3 linked regions of the Lepisosteus oculatus genome follow. The protein of the gene in region 3 interacts with the protein of the main gene of each other region in a biochemical or structural test. Links are inferred from orthologs where the notes say so. Each region holds a gene or a part of one and is shown on either strand. Other genes may lie near its edges. The genes, in order: nr2f1a, aryl hydrocarbon receptor nuclear translocator-like and ahr1a.

The links.
Region 1: the proteins of ahr1a (region 3) and nr2f1a form a complex in vitro, tested with the Homo sapiens proteins (2 studies listed by BioGRID). The link is inferred for Lepisosteus oculatus from reciprocal best matches to the Homo sapiens genes AHR and NR2F1.
Region 2: the proteins of ahr1a (region 3) and aryl hydrocarbon receptor nuclear translocator-like form a complex in vitro, tested with the Homo sapiens proteins (14 studies listed by BioGRID, with this or other methods). The link is inferred for Lepisosteus oculatus from reciprocal best matches to the Homo sapiens genes AHR and ARNT.

What each region holds. Positions count from the first base shown.
Region 1 is NC_090698.1:73,494,280-73,501,789, reverse strand, and holds the start of nr2f1a (nuclear receptor subfamily 2 group F member 1-A), read right to left. Parts: upstream 3,427-7,510; 5' UTR 2,551-3,426; coding exon 2,112-2,550; intron 761-2,111; coding exon 233-760; intron 1-232. UniProt on the Homo sapiens protein: Coup (chicken ovalbumin upstream promoter) transcription factor binds to the ovalbumin promoter and, in conjunction with another protein (S300-II) stimulates initiation of transcription. Binds to both direct repeats and palindromes of the 5'-AGGTCA-3' motif.
Region 2 is NC_090722.1:6,976,961-6,984,960, forward strand, and holds the start of aryl hydrocarbon receptor nuclear translocator-like, read right to left. Parts: upstream 3,487-8,000; 5' UTR 3,280-3,486; coding exon 3,258-3,279; intron 2,483-3,257; coding exon 2,368-2,482; intron 1,324-2,367; coding exon 1,270-1,323; intron 788-1,269; coding exon 740-787; intron 1-739. UniProt on the Homo sapiens protein: Required for activity of the AHR. Upon ligand binding, AHR translocates into the nucleus, where it heterodimerizes with ARNT and induces transcription by binding to xenobiotic response elements (XRE).
Region 3 is NC_090705.1:2,282,468-2,290,403, forward strand, and holds the start of ahr1a (aryl hydrocarbon receptor 1a), read right to left. Parts: upstream 3,088-7,936; 5' UTR 2,339-3,087; coding exon 2,277-2,338; intron 1-2,276. UniProt on the Homo sapiens protein: Ligand-activated transcription factor that enables cells to adapt to changing conditions by sensing compounds from the environment, diet, microbiome and cellular metabolism, and which plays important roles in development, immunity and cancer.

The sequences.
Region 1 (7,510 bases), on a different chromosome or scaffold from region 3:
GTGCCAAACAGTTTCGTGGCCCTGTTAGAGGATTTAGTACCGATTTTACTCAACTGCTTTGCAAGAGTAGTTTTATTTCTAAATATAATCCGAGATTTTCTTTTCTTTTTTTTTGTTTCTTATTTTTTGCGGCTGCTGTTGTTTTTCAAGCCCGTTCTCCTACACTCGGGAAACCCCCCGAAAGGCGACCCTCCGTCCGCGCTGACCCCTCTGTCCGCCTGCCGCTACTCACCTGATGTGAACAGCACTATGGCTTTGATGCAGCTGTACTCTGCGGAGTCGACGTGCAGGGCCTTGAGCTTCTCAACCTGCTCCTGGAAGATGCGGATGTGGTCCATGAACGCCACCACCCGATCCGCGGACATCGGCGAGGCGTGGAGGCCGGCCGCCGCCAGGAGAGGGGCCACATGCAGGGGCATGGAGCACTGCGCCGCGTTCAGCACAAACAACTCGCTCCAAGTCAGCCTGAGCAGAGACACCTGGTCTGTGATCTGCAGGTCGGGGAAGAAAGGGATGTTCCGGGCCCACTCCACGGCGCTGAAGAGCAAGCGAGCCGCCAGCTCGCAGATGTTCTCGATCCCCATGATGTTGTTGGGCTGCATGCACTGGCTCCCGTAGCGAGAGGTCGGGTAGGGCTCGGCCCGCAGCAATAGCGAGATGTATCCGGAGAGATAGCAATGGCCGTTCAGGGGGTCCCCGTTCGTCAGCGCATACTGCCCTGGGTTCGGCTGGGTCGGAGGCATTCTTCCTCGCTGAACCGCTGACAAAAAGAAAGAGAAAGGAGAGGAAATGTGCATCCAGGGCCGGTAAACACAGAGTTTGTGGACAGGAGATGAAAAAATAAAAAAAAAAACCCTTCGTCGTGTCTTGCTTCGACCCTGCGTCCAGAAAAGCCCTTTTTACAGCCAGTCCGTTACAAAAAAAAATCTCCACACACTGATCACGATACCCATAAAACAGTTCTAATCGTATTTTTAAATAGTTAAAAAGGATCCTTAAATTTAATTTTAACTTAGCCCTGTTCACGCACCAGTCCTCTTGATGTATATATATATACTCTGCTATTGTGCAGAAATGGTTACATTTCAGAATTTGTTTTTCATGAAATTCATTACTTACAATATGAAAACATTAAGGGAACTTATGGCACGATTTCTTGAACGCTGGTAGAAGGAAGTCATTCAGACATCTATACACAGTGAATACACAACTGTGTAGCTGCCTAAACACAGGATTCATTAACCATCTGAATGCAAAGCGCAATCATGCTTGCATTTTTAAGGACGACTACATATTTGTTTCTTCTCTGCCTCATTTTCCCTTAGAAGTCTTAGACACATTGACACAATTACAAGGGGACGGACTGAATTATTTTACAAATGAATTTATATACATATAAAATTTCGCATCTGTTTTGAACATCAGATGTTGTGATTAGGAAATAGTGTAGTGAAAGAACAGAGATTGGAGCTCCTGGCTCATATCTGCGAAGTTGCAGAATTCGTGAAATCGAAGGAGAATTGCTGTTGTTCTCACCATGAAACAGATCAGAAATACAAGCCATCGCTCCTCTCCCCCATTGCATCCTCGACCAACATTCAACCAATGCTGATATCTAACAAATTATTATTTTTATTGGTATTGTTATTAATCAGCTATTGTACAACACGATTTATAAAGAGAAATACACGCCGGAGTAAGTAAAGCCGCCAAGTTTTGTACTGTAACCAGGTCCCTCGGTAATATTATTATATATATATATGGGTCAAATGGGGGGCTTTTATTGTTACAAATCCGAAGATTACGGCAAAAGTAAGCAATGCACACGACGCAGAAAAAATACCGTGCAGAGCTGAGACTTATCGAAACCGTACTGTAACAGTCCAAATACGACTGCTTTGTTTAAACCCCCTAATGTCCCAAAAGGATAAGCTTGTCCGCCGTACAGCTTTAACTGTAAGAGGGAAAAAAAAACAAGGCATTATAAGCTTAAAATTAAAGGGACGGCAAGCGTGTAAATATGACAGGAAAACTACAATTATTTCACCCTGCACGACAGGGCGACACGTCTGGGGGAATCAATAGCAAGAGTTTTATAAAAAAATATTCACCTTCCCGCCTCATGCCCACTTTTAAACATTTCTTCAGTCGGCAGTACTGGCACTGGTTGCGGTGGTGCTGGTCGATGGGGCAGTTCCTGTTGGCACGGCATGTGTACGTTAAGTTCCTTCGGACACTCCTCTTGAAGAAACTTTTGCAGCCCTCGCAGGTGAACTGACCGTAGTGCTTCCCGCTGGATTTGTCCCCACAAACCACACATTCAATATGCTGTTGATTCTGTCCTGAATTCTGCTGGCTCTGCCCCTTGTCCCCGGCGGTGCCTGGCGTTGACGGGGGTCCCGGCTGGCTTGGTGTCTGCGGAGTGTGCGGGGCTCCGGACGCCGCCTGCTGCTGCTCCCTCGCCGGCTGTGCTACTGGGTTCGGGCCGCTCGGAGTTCCTCCGGCCACGTCTTCCTGCGTATCTCGCCAGACGCTAACTACCATTGCCATATCTCGGGCCCGAAAAGTGCTGTAAAGCGAGCGGATCGCTGGGGGTTTTGAGAGGGGGGAAAAAACGAGATTTCAGACACGGGGAGCGCAAAGTCAAGCCGGAGCAGGCGATCACATAAGACAAAGTGGGAGAAATGGACGATCAATACATTCAAATTCGAAGTGGCGAGAGGAAAGGCACCCGATCAGGATATGCAAGTATCGGGAGGCCAGTTCCAAGGTAAATTGCAGTCAGCCATTCAGGAAAGCTATCTTGGAAAATGAGGGAACGAGAGCTTACAGATCACAGAGTTTGCTTTAAAATAGCCTAATAGTAGGCAGGACGGATTCACTGAGAAGCAGAGAAATAAATAAAAAAAAAAAACACGCGATCCAAAGTATGGCGAAAATAAATCCTCTTCTTTCTTCCCGGCTCCTTTTACTCCAGTCTTGACTGGTGGAAGTAGAAGAAAAAAAAAAACGAAGATCGGAATTTTCTCTCTGATATATATATATATGTCTTTTAAATAAAACTCATCTGGAACAAAAACAACAACAACAGCAACAAAAAAATAATAATAACGTCGCTGAAGTGCCCCTGTAGTTTCACCTCTCCAGCAGGAACGGAGCGAAAGAGAAAAGATAAAAAAAAAGAGAAAGGGAAAAAAACAACTAATAGAATATGCAAGGAGGAGAGACCCAAAAATGAATGCGTTTAAACGGGAAGACCAGCAGAGCAATGTTTCCGAAACGGGTATCTGCGCGAATGTCTGTATATAGTGAACTTTGACACTACTATTGAAACTGACACGTTTCTATGGAGATCGCTGCGCCTTATATGGTGTTCATGTCAAGGAGCCAAGCGAGGGGCTGCTGGCGAGTGATATCAAAGGCGAGTGACTGGTCAGAGCCCTGCATTGGGGGGGAGAGAAATGAGAGGCTAAGGTTAGCCAAGCCTCTTTTACTTCATTGGTTAGAGTCCTCGTTCCTTGCTACCTACGACTGGGGCTTCTGACAAGCACCATTTACATCGAGCTCGCCCTGCGCTGCTATTTACTTTGAGACCTGATTAGTATGGGTCGTCTATTGTCACAAAAAAAAAAAAAAGAGAGGAAGAAATCCCGGATAGAATAGCCAAAAAAAATAAAATAATATATATATATTTTTTTTAGACGGGGAAAAAAAAGCGCACGTGAAATAAATAAACAGGCTGGCGAAGCGCAGCGTCTCCGGCTGAACCCCGGAAAGTTTGCCGGCGGATTGTTAGGAGCCCTTATCTTAATTATTAATGCTTATACCCAGCACCGTCCCCTCCGCCCGCCAGTCACACACAGAGTTGCGGGGAGAGTCGCTGCGGTGTGTCCGCGCCGCCTCCGTTCTCGCCACCGGCCCGGGAAGGGGAAAAGTAACGGTCGCGAGAAAAATAAAGAAATGGTTATTTATTGCACAAACGTACGGACGTGAGAGCAATTGCAGGGAAAAGGAGGTGGGTTTCAATGCAATGTGTAAGTTCGGATGTGGAACTGGAGAAATGTGCCATTTTGTAAAAGAAATGCTTGCTTTTAAAACAGATCCTTATCACTTCCGACATATTTAGCTGTAAGGATTATTACTAAAATCAAGTGAAAGTTGTCACCGGATTGTATGAGGGAATCTGATTGTAACTGTACGTAGTTACTGAATCCTGTGCTTTCCAAACCTAAAACAACTGGGTCCGGGTGCCATCTAGCGTACAGTACACAATCTCAGGGTACAGTACTGTATAATTTATTGTGATTATATATTCTTCCAAACCTTTTAAAGAAATATCTCCTCACGTTCAGCTTCGCGTTTCGGTTTAATTTTCTATTCGCTACGTATTTCAGTGCGTTAATTATACAGTTTAATTGCAACAAATGTTTTATGATTGCACACTTTCCTTAAGCAATGTAAACATCCAGAACAAGCAGCGTGTTTGCAGAAGGCTCTATAAAAGGCACAGCAGTAATAATCACATCCTTGTGATATTGGTGCGCTTTTATCATTATTGCATCGTCGGTGTACTTTATTTTTTTTTTAAATAGCTCGTCAGCGACGAAACAAAAAATCTATCATGGGAAGCAGGAAAACAAAACACTTAGCCTACATACTGTATATGCTGTGTAGTTTTATTATTTTTTTCGAGAAACGTTGAAGTGCGGGAGAGCTCCTGAAGTTTTATTTATTTATGTACAAATCGCAGAGGTAGAACAATGCATTGCAGTGCGCTCCCATTGTACAATGCACAGCTAGTGGAAAGGAAAAGGGTGTTATTCACTCTGCAACAGTGGTCGTTTTCCTCTCCTCTCACCAGCGTACCAAATACACTGTCCATGGCTTCTGCTTAGTGAAAAGGTGAAACGAATAAGATTAAACCAGACAAAGGGAAAGTTCTGTAAGTGTATCATCAAGATTTTACTCTACAGATTGGGACGAGAGAGAGAGAGGAGGGCGCATAAGAGACGACGGGAGAAGGATAACGCGAAAACGCTGAGGCGACTGAGGAAAAGTGGACAGTAGGACACTAAAGAAAGGCGCAGACTGTACTTCCAGAAGAGTGGACAGCAGCCGATGCACCTGAAAACTCATTTCAGCCCGGCAAGTATGTGCGTTTTGTTGATTTTATTTCAATTCAAACACGTGAGACAGTTTTATAAGAAATCACGATTCAGCAGAGCACTACCTTAGCCAATACATATGAACAAAACCGTCTCTGTATGAATGTATAGGCAGTCCTAGCTCTATCAATAGGCCTATATCTATATCTATATACACGCCTTTGTGTTGTTGTTTATTGCTCTAGATCTTTATCTGCTCTTATTTGTCCACTATTTCTGCCATTAGAGCGCACAGAGCAGGAAAGAGCTATATTTTCCAACTTGTAAGCTTCTCACCTGCGTTGTTTGTTGTTTGATCATATAATGAAAAGATCGATAGCCGCGTGTTTGTTTAAACTGTCGTGTCAACGGACCACAGGACAGCAATAAGATCGACTTGGTCGGAGAAAAAAAAAAAGCGGAGACGATCAGGCAAAGCCCAGCTGACAAACGCTGGCTGACTTTCGCAACCTGCATTCTTCTAATTTCAAAGCACGATTCTTACAGTCGACTGTAAACGATCGTACAGGCGTAAATGGCGCAAAGCTTTGCACTAATTCTGTGACTGCTGCTATTTCCATTCCTCTCGAATTCGACCCCGAACAGAGTCGCAAGGGTAGCGCAGCCAAGAGTATTGCCAAGTGACTGTCACTAACCGGTCGTTTTGCTCATCTTTTCAGCCTCTAGGTACATGAGAACAGTAAACACATTTCCACAGGACACTTCCAATATATATATATATTAACTTTCTTTCTGTCTCCCTCATAAACGCTTAATCCGCTGCTGAGAAAAGTTGTGTACTGAGGAAAACTCGTAAAGCGGCCTGAGACGGAAATCTCTTTAGCAGGGACCCGAATTATTTACCTCAATTTGAAATTTACTGCTTTGAATGCATCCCTTTAAACGCGTGTAACACAGCAGCAAATTCTATGTCAAGTACCAGAGTGTGAGAAAAGAGACTACATGACATTTTATAATGTAACTCCGCAGGAAATAAAAGTATTTCATTAAAAAATAATATCCATCACGGCAACACATTTACCTGTAACCACACACGACATACAAGTATACTCGTATACTACAAGTATAAATGCTTCATTGACCGAATAAGTATGCACAGCGTTTATCTCAAAGTTGTGTGACTTACTCCGATCTCAATTAAAGAGGCAGCGTAAACACAACAAAAGAAAGTATAGTCCATATTTCCAGCCAAAAACGTGACGCCAGCATCAGGGAACAGGCTAATAATAATAATAATAATAATAATAATAATAATAATAATAATAATAATAATAAAACAATCAGTTACAAAACAGTTTTATACATAGAGTAACGCGCACGATCAGCTATACCTCTATAATCAGAGTCCTGAATTATGTAAAGGATGTTCAAGCAATAATTCAAATAAAATGCACATGAGTTCCAGCTTACTACTTCTGTGCTGACATGCACACGTTTAGTGGGTGGTTACAACAATGCAAACAGTTCTTTCTTTTTCTGAAACTATATATTTTTTTTCACTGTCTGCTTCGGTACTTTAATGACCTGTCCCTTTTTGCGTTCTGTTTTGGTTTTCGTTTGGTGATCTAGTTGTCACACGCTAAATTAAAAGGGATCTATCAAATCGCTGGACCATTTAGGTTAAAATTAACGTCGGCTTTTATTGCTTTACACGACTCTTAAAGGCCTCTGTCGAGGAGACACCTGTAAAAACACGTCTTATGTTTCTCTACCACGAGAAAGAGTTACAAATGACCAAGACAGCCGATCTCATGTACATTGTCTTCGCCTTCCCATGTCTGTTTACATCTGCTTTGAACTGCTCGGCCAATTTGCACGCGTAGGACTTGGGTGATGTTTGAAATAAAACCATTTAACCGCATCTTTCGCTTAAGATCCACGATTTCTCGCGCAAAATAACGCTGCAAATACGATTTGTTGCTCTAACCGAAAACATGTATTTGAAAAACATGACAGGACTCCTAGATTTCGCTCACCAGCCGGCAGCACGAGGTGTTATTTTCGGTAGAAGGAATGCAGGAAAGAGACGGCCAGCAATCAAGTAGTGAGAAAAAAAAAGTAGACAATGTTTCTGAGTTTGCACCATTTCAACGCTGTTAATTTAAAATTCACTTTAAAACTTGTGTTCGCTTTTACTATGCGAGACAAGTGATATATGGAAGTTAAACACTAATGGTGTAGTCTGCAGCCTTTGATATATACACAATATATAAAAAAACGATTCCTATTATTGGATACGAACTCCTAAGATAGAATCAATTAGCCAGAAATAAATACAACTCATCATCAAAACCTGACAGATCTAGTTTAAGAGATGTGCAAAATGAATTATGCTTTATGTAGGG
Region 2 (8,000 bases), on a different chromosome or scaffold from region 3:
GAGGCTGGGAGAGAACAGCGCCCCCTGGCGGTCTGGGAGACCACGACAAGGCAGGATAACAACACTGGCGAGCATGCTCCAGACAGCAGCTGAGCAGGACTCCAGACACACGCTGCATCGCAGACTGGGCCACCCCAGGGCTCATCTCTTTGCAAACAGTGCTCCAGTCGGTCACTCAGTGCTCCAGTCAGTCAGTCAGTCAGTCAGTGCGTCACTCAGTGCTCCAGTAGGTCAGTCAGTCAGTGCGTCACCCAGTGCTCCAGTCGGTCAGTCAGTCAGTGCTTCACTCAGTACTCCAGTTGGTCAGTCGGCCAGTGTGTCACTCAGTGCTCCAGTCGGTCAGTCGGCCAGTGTGTCACTCAGTGCTCTAGTCAGTCAGTCAGTGCGTCAGTAAACTCTGAAGTGGCTCGGACTGCTCTGCAGCTCTAGGAGTCTGATGCCTTTCAATCGTAAGAATACAGAGACGCAGAACGACAGGGCACTCTGTGACAAACGGAAAACCAGAGAAAGACATTCCAGGAGGGCCTGTTCCTGATCCGAAGAGCAACAGGCTGGCTGACCCAACCCGGCGCCGCCAGCAGGGGAGGCGCAGAGAGGGGGAGCCCCCGGCCCCCCGGGGCCCCGCGCGCTGGGACGCGCTCCCGCCTGTCGGCCGGCTGCTCTTCGTGTCCCGGAGCGGAAGGAAGCGCTCAGGCTGCGGACAGCGTGCATCCCGACAGGGGAGACTCCTCCGGCTTACCTGGCAAAGCGCTCCTTGTCGTTGGAGCCTCCCTGGTCATCATCACACCTGCAGAGGGGGAGAGAGGGGGAAGGAGAGGAGGGGGGAGGGGGGAAAGAGAGGGACGAGAGAGGCAAAGGAGGGGAGAGAGGGAGAGGAGGAAGAAAGAAAGAGAGAAGAGAGAAGAGAAAGGCGAGAGACAAGAGAAGGAGGAGGAGCAGGATGCAAGCGAGAGAGGGAGAAGAGAGAGGAGCAGCCAGGAGAAAGGGAGAATGAGCAGGGGGAAGGAGGAGAAAGGAGAGTGCACTGATTACTCCCTCACCAGTCCCCTGGTACTGCTGCTAATAGGGCACAACCACAGAGACCAGCACAGGCGTCCCGCATCCGCACCGAACAGAAACGGCGACAGCAGCGGACACAAACACAGCTCTGCCAGCACGCTCACGCACTCTCACACCCCCCCTCCTCCGCCTCGCGGCGCCACCCAGCAGGCCGAGGGGCGGCCCTCCAGCCCCAGCGCCGGCGACCTCGCTGCCCGGAGAGGTGCCCACCTGAAGAGCTTGCCGCCGCCGCCGCCGCTGTCGTCGTCCTCATCGAAGTCAGGTCTGTGCGGAGAGACAGCGAGAGTCAGGGCCCGGCTCGCGGGACGGGGGGGGCACCAAACCGCAGCCCACCGGGCCGCACCGGAACACAAAGGGCGAGACCGCGCCGCACTTGAAATGGAAACCGGACCTGCCCCGAGCAGCGCAAGGCCTGGATCTGAACGATGAAAACGGCTCTTCCCGGCCGGTGACACTCCCCCGCAGACAGCAGAACACAACACCCTCCTGACCTGCTTGCGAGCCGTCGGGCTGATTATTCCATCAGAACCCCTCAACACGCCCTTCACACTCCTGGGGCAGACAGTGCATCAGGTCCGCATAGACTTCCAGCACCTTCTACTGCTTCCAACTGCTCTGTTTTGAATTGTGCCACCAGCCTCGCCTCTGTGGCCAGCAGCTACATCACCCTGCAGCTCCCAGCTGGCAGCCCCACTGCAGCCCAGCAGTGTGAGCCTGGCCAGTGTACCTGGAGGGGAGACTCCTGGGAAAGCTGAGGCTGCTGCTGGAAGAGGTATTAAAGAGACCAGCAGGGGGCGCTCACCCTGCGGTCCGTGTGGGTCCTAATGCCCCAGTATAGTGACAGGGAGACTATACTGTAAAAAGGCTCAGTTTTTCAGATGAGACGTAAAACCGAGGTCGTGACTCTCTGTGGTCATTAAAAATCCCAGGGCGTTTCTTGAGAAGAGTAGGGGTGTTACCCCAGTGTCCTGGCCAGATCTCCCCCTGGCCTTTACCAGTCAGGGCCTCCTAATAACCCCCCTCTCTGAACTGGCTCCATCACTCTGAGAGCTGGTGTGTGGGGAGAGTACTGGAGCACTCTGGCTGCAGCCACATCATCCAGGTGGGGCTGCACACTGGAGCTGGTGGGGGGGATCCCCATTACCTGTAAAGCGCTTTGAGTGGAGTGTCCAGGAAAGCGCTATATAAGTGTCAATTATTATCATCGTCTTCTTTCAAATGATTTTGCTTTCTTACTATAAAGGGCTTTGAGAAGCTGCTTTGAAAGGCACTATATAAAAGAAGGCAGCACATCGCCCCTGTACTCACACAGCGCGTCTCTTGGTGGCCCCTCTCTGCACCATGGTGCCCGCGGCAGCCCCGCCCAGGCCCGGGTTACCAGGGGCCCCACCCGCACTCAGCCCGGACACCTCCGACGCCATGTCTGGGAGAGAGGGAGAGAGAAGGAGGGTCACACAGTGTCAGTCTCCGGCCACAGCGAGACCGCAGAGCGCCCAGACATCGGTGCCTGAGGAAACGGGCCACGCTCCCAGTGCACAGCAGTCTGATCCACTCCAGGTTTTACAGTGCTGTCAGTCAGACTCCCAGTGCACAGCAGTCTGATCCACTCCAGGGTTTATAGTGCTGTCAGTCAGACTCCCAGTGCACAGCAGTCTGATCCACTCCAGGTTTTACAGTGCTGTCAGTTAGACTCCCAGTGCGCAGCAGTCTGATCCACTCCAGGTTTTACAGTGCTGTCAGTCGGGAATCATCATCAAGGCTACTTCTCTGACACTTTGAAGCGCTTTTCCTTTTAGCTTCAGCTGCTGTCCTGGCCAGTGAACGGACCAGCGCGACGCGAGTCACAGAGAGCCCCCTCCCCACGCACCCACCCAGTGCCAGCACCCAGCCGGCTTCAGACATCGCCTCGGCGAAACCCTCCCGCGACAGCCAGTCAGTCGGACAGCGACAGGAGAGAGAGGTTTCCTCCCTCCGGTTCGCCAGACGTCCCTGTGGGCTCGGGAGTGACCGGGCTGTCCAGGCTGTGGCGGACAGCCGGGCTCCAGCGGAAAGACCCCCCTCCCCAAAAAAAAACCCCGCCCGGTGACCCCCAGAGCCCCCGGCTCTGCCCCGTGAGGGCTCAGGGCTGGCAGGCCTGTTCTGACACCCCCGGGACACACACTCGCCCAGGGGCCGCACGCAATCGACGGGCTTCGTACCTGATGCCGAAGTCGAGGCCATGAACGTTAGAAAACATCCAGCCCTCGGCGCCTCCGCACGGTGTGGGACAGCGTGAGACACGGGTTGTCGGTTTTTTTCTTATTTTTCGAAAGATACTTTTTTTCCTCTTATGTTTTTGTTTTTTAAAAAAAACACACAGCGAAAACCCTCCCTTGAAACAAGATGGCAGTCTGGAGCGGAGGCCCGCGCGTCAACCGAACTCTTTGATTACAAAACGGATTAAAAACGTGTTAAAATGATGGGCGGTGCCTCTGTCCAATCAGTGATGACAAAGATTGGACGTACCTTTCTTTTGGCCAATAGAGATTCGGAATCTAGCAAAGGCAACAGAGAGATCCCGCCTTTCACACCAGGCTAGAATGATCTGAGGGGGCGGGCCGAAATCGGTGACGCCACACAGAATTGTTTAAAGGGACAGTCTGGGGCGGTTTGAGTGTTTTTAATCGAGATCTTTTGTATTTTTCCACAGGAAATGCGCTTGTTGTGAAAGATATTTCGACATCTGGTATTTGTCATCCTCCGCGGTCCCTGCAGGGAGAGAGTGATTTTGTGGAGAGGCGAGTTTCTGATTAATTATGTCGAGTACAGACCTGCAATCTCAGTGTTTAACATAAACACAAACACGAGAACAGGAACAAAAGGTGAAGGAGAGGAGCTACTTTTCCGTCAATTGATCCTAGAAGCGTTAAAGAAAACCCCAACCCTCTCTCACAATAATGTTTTATGTGGTGTATGCAAATATTGTGTTGATTGTGTCTGCTTTGGTAACACGTCATTCTTCTCATGCCAATAAAGCTCTTTCAGAAGTTGAATTTGAAACCAGGGTATCCGCTTCAGTAACGCAGCTCATTAAATCCTACAGTATTATGAAAACATTTGCTTATCATTCCTGTTCGTTAGCTTTGCAAAGGGGCCGTGGGGCAGCTGTTTGCTGACTCATCCCTGCACTGAATAACTTGTCACAGAAATCTTGTCCTTTGTAAAGCCCAGTGAGATCGGGGTAAAAGCACAGTACAGTGCAGTGAAGCCCAGTGAGATCGGGGTAAAAGCACAGTACAGGGCAGCCCAGTGAGATCAGGGTAAAAGCATAGTACAGTACAGTGCAGTACAGCACAATGAGATCAGGGTAAAAGCACAGTGCAGTGAAGCCCAGTGAGATCAGGGTAAAAGCCCAGTCCAGTGCAGTACAGCCCAGTGAGATCAGGGTAAAAGCGCAGTACAGTGCAGTAAAGCCCAGTGAGATCAGGGTAAAAGCATAGTGCAGTGCAGGATAGCCCAGTGGGATCAGGGTAAAAGCACAGTACAGTGCAGTACAGCCCAGTGAGATCAGGGTAAAAGCACAGTGAGATCAGGGTAAAAGTGCAGTACAGTACAGTAAAGCTCAGTGAGATCAGGGTAAAAGCACAGTCCAGTGCAGTCCAGCCCAGTGAGATGAGGGTAAACGCAGTAAAGAGTACACTAGCAGTGTCTGCTGCTGGTCCAGAGTCTGTGAAAGAGGAGCTGGCTGGCTTCACGCTGTCTCCACGGGGATGGCCCCTGTCTCCCAGTACTCCCATGAAGCGTGACGGGTTGCCGTGTGCCGGGTTACACGGCTCGGAGCAGGTGCCCTCTGTGGAGCGGGCCGCGGCGGCACCGCGCCGGGATCGGGTTCCCCTCGGCAGCGGGCCGGGCCGAAAGACAACACCAGGAGCGTGCTGAAGTATTCATGAGCCGGGGGGGACAGTGGCGCACACGAGGAAAACTCCCGCAGCCGAGCGCAGAGGTCCAGAACGAGCTGGATCGCTCCGGCAGCAGTGCATCCCTGCAGACCCTCCCGAATCCCGAAGGCAGGAGCGAGCGGCGAGGCGATACCGCCGCTGTGTGACCACACACACTAACCAGGGCATGGGTAAGTGTGAGGCCGCCGTTTCCCACACACACACCGGCTGATCCGCCATGTTCCCTACTGGAGTTCTGGGATCTGGCCTCGGAGAGGCAAGAAGTCACTGCATACGCTGTTAAAATTCCTTGAATTTCCGATTAAGGATTGTTTCGTTTTTCCCCAGCGTGTGACAGTGTTGGGTTCAGGGCACGTTTATGCTGCTTTCACTAGCTAGCTGCCCTGTACAGGTGTTAGCGCCAGGGTCAGGGGTCAGGGGTCAGGGGGTCACCCGTACCTGCGTTCCATAATGAGCCCCCTCCCGTTCCTGCACAATGGGACTCACCCCCCTGCGTCTCTCAGTCTCGACAGGGCTCTGCAGAACCCCGGTCCTGAGCCTGTAGCTGGGACCCAAACCGAACTGGATCCCACTGGGCCACTGCTGAGCCACCACCCCGCTGGAGGACCGGACTGGCGTCAGAGAGCGACTCTCGCACTGCCTGTCACGCACACTGCCTGGGGCGGACCGAGAGACCCGCGGGTCACTCTGCTGTTTGATTCCTGGGCTTTTCTGATTGTTTAATATGTTTACAGTAATAACATGGAGTTCATCCAGTTCGACGAGACTTTGCTCAAGTGAGGAGACCTGACAGGTCCAGGTGTTAAGGTCTTGTTACACCGGGAGGACAGCCGGTCCAGTGGATAAGACACAGGGCTGTTACACCAGGAGGACAGCCGGTCCAGTGGATAAGACACAGGGCTGTTACACCAGGAGGACAGCTGGTCCAGAGGTGAAGACACAGGGCTGGTACACCGGGAAGACAGCTGGTCCAGTGGTTAAGAAACAGGGCTGTAACACCAGGAGGACAGCTGGTCCAGATGGACACGGATGCCCCTCCCCAGCTCCCGGTGGACGTTGACAAGGGCTTCGCTCTGGCCTTCCTCTTCCTGCTGTGCTTCTTCCTGCTGGTGACGGTGGTGCGCTGCGCCCAGATGGTGGTCGACCCCTACAGTGCCATCCCCACCTCCACCTGGCAGGAGGAGCAGATCAGCAACTGAGGCTGAGAGCAGCACCCCCAGCGGCTGGGAGACTGGGGGCAGAGTGGGAGACTGGGAGACTGGGGGCAGAGTGGGAGACAGTGGACAAACTGGGAGACAGGCGGTAGACTGGGAGACTGGGGGCAGAGTGGGAGACTGGGGGTAGACTGGGAGACTGGGGGTAGACTGGGAGACAGGGGGTAGACTGGGAGACTGGGGGCAGAGTGGGAGACAGGCGGTAGACTGGGAGACAGGGGGCAGAGTGGGAGACAGTGGACAAACTGGGAGACAGGGGGCAGAGTGGGAGACAGTGGACAAACTGGGAGACTGGGGGCAGAGTGGGAGACAGGCGGTAGACTGGGAGACAGGGGGCGGAGTGGGAGACAGTGGACAAACTGGTAGACTGGGGGTAGACTGGGAGACTGGGCGCAGAGTGGGAGACTGGGGGTAGACTGGGAGACTGGGGGCACAGTGGGAGACAGGGGGCAGAGCTGGAGACAGGCGGTAGACTGGGAGACAGGGGGTAGACTGGGAGACTGGCGGTAGACTGGGCGACGGGGCAGGGCTGGACCATGGGGAGCAGTGTGCAGTTTTATCCAGACCAGGAGTTGCTGAAATAAAAGGATCTGGAAGAACGACTGTGTTTTGTGTCCTGTCTCAGAATTCCCAGCTCTGACCAGGAGGAGTGCACTGACCCACTGAGACAGAGTGGATTCTTGTACATTTATAGGTATCTGTGCCAGGCATTGACAGCCACGCTGCTTACACATTGCCCTGCTCAAGAATAATGCGTTCAGCAATTACAGAAGAGCTTCGACCACGTGTTGTAAACTCTAGGCATACAAACCCTTGACAGGTCAGCTCCCGCCAGAACCTCTGGCTGCACTGATTGGTTCAAACCGACGCCTATCACGGTTTAGCGCTCTTTATTGGACAAACCTGCCATCGTCGGAGGGGCCTTTCCTCTTACCTCACGCTACTGTGGAGCCTATTGGTTGCCTCCCCTATCACTCACGTCGATCAGCATTGCTGATTGGCGCTCATTAGGTCTGGGGGCGTGGCGACGACTGCAGTGGGCGTGTTCCCTCATGGACTCTCTCTGGGAAGGGGGAGAAAGGGAGACAAGCTCGGAGACTGGAATCTGGCTCAAAAATTTCTTTATGAAATAGCGAAAGAGTAATATCTACAGTGACCCTCTACCGGCGAAACGCCTTGGAAGGAGAGGTAATTCTGGTTAAAACCGGAGTCGTTTGTCGTTAATTTCTCAGGTGGGCAGACGTCGTTTTGTAGAGAGGGGACATCTGCGATAAAGAGCGAATGCTTACAGCTAAATTTGTCCAAATTATGGCTTTCGGTAACAACGTTTATTTCGTAAAGATAACCCCTTACTCTCATATTTACTGCATATAATCACAAATATGTAACTATATAGTTTTTTTTGTGAGAAATTAAAAGAACGCGATGAGGTGTTTTAAATTCGCCCTCACCTTACGTCAGACCCGCGCGCCCTGCGAGCGCAGCGCATGGTATGCTGGGAGTTGATGTTTTCTTCGTCGTAACTCTCCTTCGTATTTAAAGAATTGCGGGAGATAAAAAACTACATTTCCCATGACGTTCATTTGCCGCAGTAACACCGCCTTCATCGCCTTCAATGGAGGTGCTCAATGCAGATGACGAGTTGTTTTTAAAATACATTTATATTTTGAAGTCTTCCTTCCGCAAAGGTTTTGGATCTAAATCAGTACCCCTCGTTTCGTCTCGTCTCGCAGCCGAAGCTGCTGCTAATTCTAAAAGTGTGGAAAATTGAAAACGTGCGTGAGGTTAG
Region 3 (7,936 bases):
ATCTGGTCTGACTGTTGTGGAAATGAAGACTGACTCGGATGCAAATTCTTAAGATGTCAGTTCAGTACGTTGATCTAATGCCGAGGTCTCTCTCTCTAAGTGCTTAATGTGGAAGTGCTGTAAACAAACAGGTCACGTACTCTCAGGCACAGAATGGCACATTCTGTGCACTATTTTGACTTATCAACAAGCCCTTTGATTCATTCTTAAAACCCTGCTGCTTAATGGAGTTATGGAAAGCAGCGCATTGCTTGACTTGTCCTCTTCTACCAAAATAGCTTTGATGCCGTCTAAACAATAGGGACTCTACCCTTTTAAAAACTGCACAAGGCACCGGCAAGAGGCCCATCCAGCAGAAAAGGTCTCATTTTAGAATCTGTGACTCACGGGGGTGTTAAAGTTTTCATTTGGGCCAAACTATTCCAAACAGGCTACACTGCCCGGATAGAGCCAAGATTTCACTGGCCATATGAAAGGAATCTGAATCATTTGTACCGTTTTTTTTAAAAAAAAAAACCTAATCTTAAAAAAATCTTTTGGTGTTTGAAAGAGAGGCTTTGGGTTGAGGTTGTGGTTTAATCTATGGGTTAGAGTTTCAGGTACGTCAAAGAACGCTGAATGTAACTTAACATTCAATCCCACTAATGAGCGATGAGCACAACTCCAAAAGTATGTTTCAAGCTTTAATGTCTCGCCCGTGTTAAGAGTTTGACTGTTCTCTAAGAGAGCCCAAGTAAAGCGCTGTATTTCTCATCAATCATAATATGCAGGGATCTGCGATGCCTTCCCTTTCCCTAATGCTAATGCTAATAAAAGGGCACCGTGGGCACGGATGAGTTGCGTTCGACTCATTTCTGAACCGATTTAAGGTTTTGCTAAACCGACTTGTGGAAATGCGTTCAAGCCGCGGATAACACGTCTCCGCAACCCCTCGGGTGCAGAACAGCAGATGCCGCAGAACGTGTCACATCATCATATTCATATGTGTATCCCTTTCTCATGTGAATCCACACGCGTCGGTAACTCTGTTCCCACCCCGCCGCACACCGGCACTAGACAATGCTGGTGCTGGCTGCCCTGCAGCTATGAAGAAAGGTGAAGTGCACCAAATATTCCTCCCAGGCCTGATCTTTCCACATGAATATTTTAATAGCTCTGGAGATGGCCAGCATTCGGTTACTTTTTGGGGGAACTCAAGCCCTGCAAAAGTCGGGATACAATTTGGGCTTTCCAGTGCAAGCCGAGCTCCGGGCGACTTCATCCGACCATTTAGCTGCGTCATTAGGAGGCGTTGATGAGCTTTCCAGGTCTCTGCTCGCCACTGTCTGCACAGCTCTAAGCCCGATGCAAGTCGGATATCTACAGCATGTACATGCAAGCAGACGGCAAAAGCGCGGAAAGCGTGGCACCGGGAACTGGAGGGGGTCTGTCTCGCCGTGCACACCAGACACGCCGTCCTGTCGCCGCTCCGAGGCGGGGACCGTCGCCCGGCCTGTGCGGGTCTCCGTGGATCAGTGCCGAGCCAGCAGGCTTAGCGGAAAGCGACCGGACCGAGGCCGTGCATCCGCCCAGCCCGGGGCACGGATGGGGCTTGTGCACGGCCAGGGGCAGAGCCGTGTCCCAGGGCGGGCGGGCAGGGCACGGCTTCAGGGCGCCTGTCCTCCGCACGGACCCCGCCAGGGCGAAGTGGGCGAGCAAAGCCGCGAACGGTTCCAGATGCTAGCACAGACGGGCTGGGTGCGTCACCGGCCGCCAGGGGTCCGAATACCATCTCTCCCATTTCACATCCCCCCCCCCTCCCCTGCCCGGCTGGAGGACACGGCGGTCCTGCAGGTGTTGCGCCCCGACCCCTCACGAACAGACACACGGCGTCTCCAGGCCTGTCGCACCGGCTGCGTAAAGGCCACTCCGGCCGCAGGGCTGCGGCGGCGGCGTCTCCGGCCTCCCGGACCAATGCGAAACGTTAAGGAGGCTTTGGGTTTGCTGGGGGGGGGGGGGGTTCTACTTTGCTACAACGACAACAACAACAACACATAAGTATTTCACCCCCCCCGGATAAAAAAAACGAAAAGAAAAAAATCCTCCTAATCTCCGAGCGAGCAACGCCACGGAGACCTCCGGCTGCCGCAACACGAATCAAACACGCGAGACGCGCACCTATTTGAAAAGAAAAGCCGGCAAGACCGTCCGACGTGTTTGGAAGATCGTTTTGGGGGGGGGGGGGGTTCTTTCTTTCTTTCTTTCGGATGCATAGGCGTGCTTGCGGAGGGTCCTACCTCTTCTGCACGGGCTTTCTCCTCTTCCGACTCGCGTAAATGCTGCTCGTACTGTTGCTCATCCTGGTCTCTCGGCAGGACACGAAATTCCCTTTCGCTTCACGGCCCTTATCGCTGTCGCCGCTGCCGCTGCTGCTGGTGGCGTTGGTATCAAGGTTATAGATCCCACAATCCCTCCCTCCTCCCCTCCAAAAAAAAATAAAAAAATCAATGACAACCAACAACGACGACGACGGCACTTCGCCTTTCACAAAAATAAGCAGGGTGTCCTCGACAGGATCGAGGTGGCGATCAAGAGGGGCGATTTTCTGCTAAGAACCATGTCCCGTCGCGGGAAACCCTGTCAAACCTCCCTCCTGTCGTCGTCGTCCTCCTCCTCCAGCGACGGAAAAAGGAAAAGAGAAAAAGGTCACCGCAGTAAGACCGTGAACTTGGTGCTCGCCGGAGCGCCTGACGCAACCGAGACGGGCTGTAACCGCGCAACTGACGCGCCCGGGCTCCTCGCGCCCCCCAGCTCGAGCCGCTCTCTCCTCTCCACGCGCGCTCCCCTCTCCCGCACGTGACGGCTGCCGGGCGCTCTCCCGCGGCCAGGTGTCTCGAGACAGGGGCACCACCTGAGCTTTCCTCCCCTCCCCCTCTCCTCCCTTCTCCTGTTCTTGCTCCGAAGGATCGGGCCGACTCTCTGAATCCGCACGCTGCTGCTGCTTCGGGTTCCTGCGTCCCCTCCTCCCTGCCAGCAGACTGGTCTCTCCCTCTCTCCTTCCCCCCTGTGCGCGAATCAATGTCGCTTTTTGCGAGCTGGACGGACCCAGGTTACACACGCCCAAGCATTGCGTCCCGGCCCCGATGACGCTGACGCACGCCTGGACGTCGGGGGGCGGGGCATGGGCGTGGGAGGCGGGTGTCCCGGCGCGGCGGCCATCTTGGTGAGGTCGCGGCAGGGAAACGCAGCCTGCCGGTAAACTGCGCGGTTTAGATTAGCAGGCAGCGTTTACCAATTCGAGGAAAACTGCATGCTGCGATACGGTTGTAATTTTGCGGTGACAGAAAAATCACGAACTGCAAATCCCAATTGAAGCAGAAATAAAACTGTAGATACCAACAAAAGGTCATACAAGAGTGGCGTGGGCGCTGTGGTGGGTTCATTCTGATCATAATAGAATCATCTGTATTTTTTTTTTCGTAAATGTGGTTTGATCGTCTGTCTATCTGTCAGTGCTGCAATTTCCCCAAGTATTAAAAAGCGTGCATTGACGCTTAATACCCGCACGTCTACGAATTGACGTCATTTTTCTCGTACTGTACGGTATTAAAAGGAAACAATATAGGATTAGCAGGATTAAACCAGATTCAAATCTAATGTGAAGGAACTGATTGCTTAGATTATTTCTGTGGATATATTATTTTTATCGCTCCAGCAATACAGGGAGTTGTTTTGCATACCTAATTAGATCATTGAAGTGCCAGAGGAATCGCGGATTGAGAAAGTCAGGTGTTCTAATTTTATTTACTTTATTTAAATATTTTTTTTACGCTGGGGAAATATAATAACTTGGTGCATATGCCCTATAAATTCGAGGCTTTCCCCTTTAGTCTTTAGTTTCTCAATTTACCTCAGCTGGTGATGATATGTGCGCTATATTTGGATAAATGTGTGCTTTAGTTTATGTTACCTGCGTTTAAATTGGCCCCGACAGGCTGTGAAATCGGATCGTAACAGATGTATATTCAATTTACACTTAATAATGGGCCAGAACGCCCCCACATAGCTGAGAGACTGAGAGACGGTGCCCCTGTCTCTTGCTGTACGGCTCTGATAGATTGCTGCTGCGTCAATAGCATATCCAGTTTCTAAACAGATCCGCGTTATTTCATCAGCTCCAGTGTGTTTTTCTGACAAAATACCCAAGAGCTCTCAATTAAAACACGGCACAACGATATCTTTCACAGAGACACAAACCGGTCATCTGTGTGTTGCCGTCAATCTATAAAGTTCAACATATTTAACTTATTCGTGAAGTCCTGTAAGGTCGACGTGATGATGCAGTGGTTACCACTGCTGCCCCACAGTGCTGGGGCCTGGGGTGCTGCCTGTGTGGAGTCCATATGATCTAATGTCCAGGTGCTCTGGTGTCCTCCCACAGTCCAAAGGCTAATTGGCTACTAGTCCAAAGTTGAATTGGCTTCTGGGAAAAGTGGCCCTGCTGTGTGGGTGTGTGTCCCTGTGTCTGCTCTGTGATGGACCGGCGTGGGTGTGTGTCTCTGTGTCTGCTCTGTGATGGACCGGCGTGGGTGTGTGTCTCTGTGTCTGCTCTGTGATGGACCCACATGGGTGTGTGTCTCTGTGTCTGCACTGTGATGGACCGGCGTGGGTGTGTGTCTCTGTGTCTGCTCTGTGATGGACCCGCGTGGGTGTGTGTCTCTGTCTGCTCTGTGATGGACCGACCGGCGTGCTGTCCAGGGTGCACCCTGCCTTGTGCCTGTCCCTTGCTGGGATGGGCTCCCCTGTGACACTGTACTGGATAAAGACCATAGCATGAAAGCAAAAAATATTGTACATTATGAAAGAGCTGTACTGTACTCTATGTTATGTTCTTCAAAGAGAAAAATATTTAAGATTAAAAAAAATAATTTCTGTCAAGACATCTAAAATCGTAAAATGAAACAAAATGGCCACAATAACAAAACAAGTCACAGGACCTACAGTACGTGCGTGCTTTCAGATATCACTGGGTGGCTCTGGAGCTGAACCAGGAAGCTCCTGGTTTCATATCCTTTGTGTCAACCACTAAATTAAACTTAGCCCGCCAAACATATCTATTGCATTCTCAGCAAATTTAAATAAGAAACAATATAGCAGCCATATTGCCCTGCAACTCGTGGCTTCCTGTTCCCGTCTGAACGGGCTTCATCACGCTGCTCTCCTCCCCACTGAGAGCTAGTGTGGGGGGAGCGTTCTGGAGCATCATCCAGGTGGGGCTGCACACTGGGGGTGCTGGAGGGGATCCCCATGACCTGTAAAGCGCTTTGAGTGGAGTGTCCAGAAAAGCGCTATATAAATGTAAGCAATTATTATTATTATTATTATTATTATTATTATTATTATTTAAAAACTGCCACTGTTAAATGCTTTCCCAAAAAATACGCATTCTGTTCATAAAACCGTAAATGTTTGTGTTTTCTACACGTTCCACATGAACATGAAGAGAACATGCAAACTCCACACAGATGGCAGCTCAGGAATCGACCGCAGGGCCCCAGTGCTGTGAGGCAGCGATGCTACGGACTACATCGTGCTGCCCTAATTTTATATTTGAAACGAGAGACGCAAAAGAAAATGAACATGCAATAACAAGCTGATCTCTCATTTCATCTTCTTCTTTCAAACCATTTTCTTGAAATGCTGAATGAGGAGGGCTATCATTATGAAGATGCCATACAGTTCACTGGTAATGTGCAGCATTTGTTAGAACTTACATTCATTAGCTTGTACAATGCAACATCATTAAGAAACCTCCTGGTAGTTTTTTTCAATGTTTTATGAACCACATTTAAGTGTAATCCAATATCTGACCGAGACAACTGATTGCATTTTGAAATTCCTAATTGAATTCTACAATTTGGAATAATGCTGGGGGCAAAGCAGACCACTGTAAGTGAACAAAACAGTCGTTAATTTGTTTCTGTAGTGTTGCAGGAAACATTTTATCAGGAATAATTGCAAACAACTTGTCTTGTTTAAAGAAAATAACGAGCAATTTTCCCATGACTCATGCGTCCCTGTTCCTAAAGCTCATAAAGATTCATGTGAAATTGGAGCCATACACTGCCATAATGAATTTCTTTGTCTCTGGACGAGCCAGGGTTATAAAAAATTGGCTTTGAACTTTGGACATTTGAAACTTTTACAATAGCTAAATATATTTCTGTGTGTAATATGGTTATTTAGCATTGCCCGACTAGCAGCAGCTTGGTTAAATACCCATGAGTCTAACTCCAAGGCCTGAAAGCTCAGAATAAAACAGGGAATTTGTATTTTGTCTGTTTTCTGGCTGCAAAATATTGCGTCATGGTCTCATTTAAACCCACAATTATGGTGTTAAAAATGGAATGTCTCATTGACAGTCAGAACGATCCTAGACACATAAATGTAAGGAATTCAATCAAATACATTTGTATAAAACTTCGGTTTTGTTATGTCATTTCCTATGTGCATGTCTTCGACATTTACAATTTTCCCTGCAAAAGTATTCAGACCCTTGCAGTTTCTATATTTTGTTGCTTTAAATCGTGCAGAAACGACACTTTGGAATTGCGATAAATATTTGTTATAGTATATACACAATGTGCCTCACACATAAAAAAATACAAAGAAAAAAAAACACAAAGATCATTAATATAAAAGAAAAATAGAAAAGCTAAGATTGGATAAATATTCAAACCCTTTTCTGTGGTAAAATTTAATGAATACAGGTGCACAAAATTACACAAAGATCAGGAAAAGAGTGCAAAAAGATTTTGTAGTGTTCTCCCTTCTTATATACCCCTGTGAGCAAGTGCACTGTACAGCATCGTGACACCCAGACGCTGCCTGGATCCGGCAAAAATGGGGCAAAGTTTCACATCCATTGAGAGAGAGCTTTGGGGCACCCAGGTCATTTTGGACATTTTGGATCTTTCTGTTACACTGTTATGCAAGGAATCGGACCACAAGCACATCTATTTCCCTTATGGCCGTGGGGCCTGTGTACATTCCGATAATTTCTTCCTGCCTGGTGACCTCTGCCCAAAGAACTGGAGTCGGGCCACGCACTTCGGTGATGGACCAGAAATCCACAAACCAGGGTCAGAAATCAAGTTGGCATAGAGTGGAGGTGCTCTCCTGTTGACTCCCGATGAAGCAAGCAGTTGGGAAATATCATGTTTGGCTTTGTCAAACATGACGACCTTTATTTCATGAAAAATGTTAACTTGTGCTGTAAGATTGTTTAAAAAGAGTTTATCGTGTGGATGGATCCCAATTTGACATCCAGATTATAGTAATCTGATTTCTTTGTCTGTTTTCATCCATGATCTACAATTAATTGGGTTTGGTAGATTCATTTAATACCCTGGGTTTAAGTACATATTTATTCTTTAGTTTAATACTGTTCGCTTCAAAGGATGTACCAACACACCACTGGCATTTATAAGGACATTTTGTGGTGGCTCATCCCAAATTAAAACTGAAAAAAATTTAGATCATTTGGCAGTACACACTTACAAATCACTGCTGCAGTACACCAGGCTAACGCTGAGCCTTAAACATTTTCAATGAAAGCAGGGAATGACCTGACACAGCATATATTCTCATCTGGGAATCTCTCGCATGGATGTTGCCTGTGCACTGAAACCACATTTTGTAGCTTTTCTGCAAAAACAGCAGATCTTTTCTGTACAGTAGGTACAGAAGTGCCCAAACGCTCATATTGCTTGGACAAATGAAGGCAATGCTCACTTTAAAAAAAACATGTCAGTATGTGAATTCCATAATCACACCACTCTTGAAAAGAGAAGGGAGAACAGCCTCTGAGGAGTTAATGATCATGAAAAATAGGAGACTGGATATCCCACATCTTAATCGATATGGTGCTTAAGCACTGTCTAGTTAATAATACCTA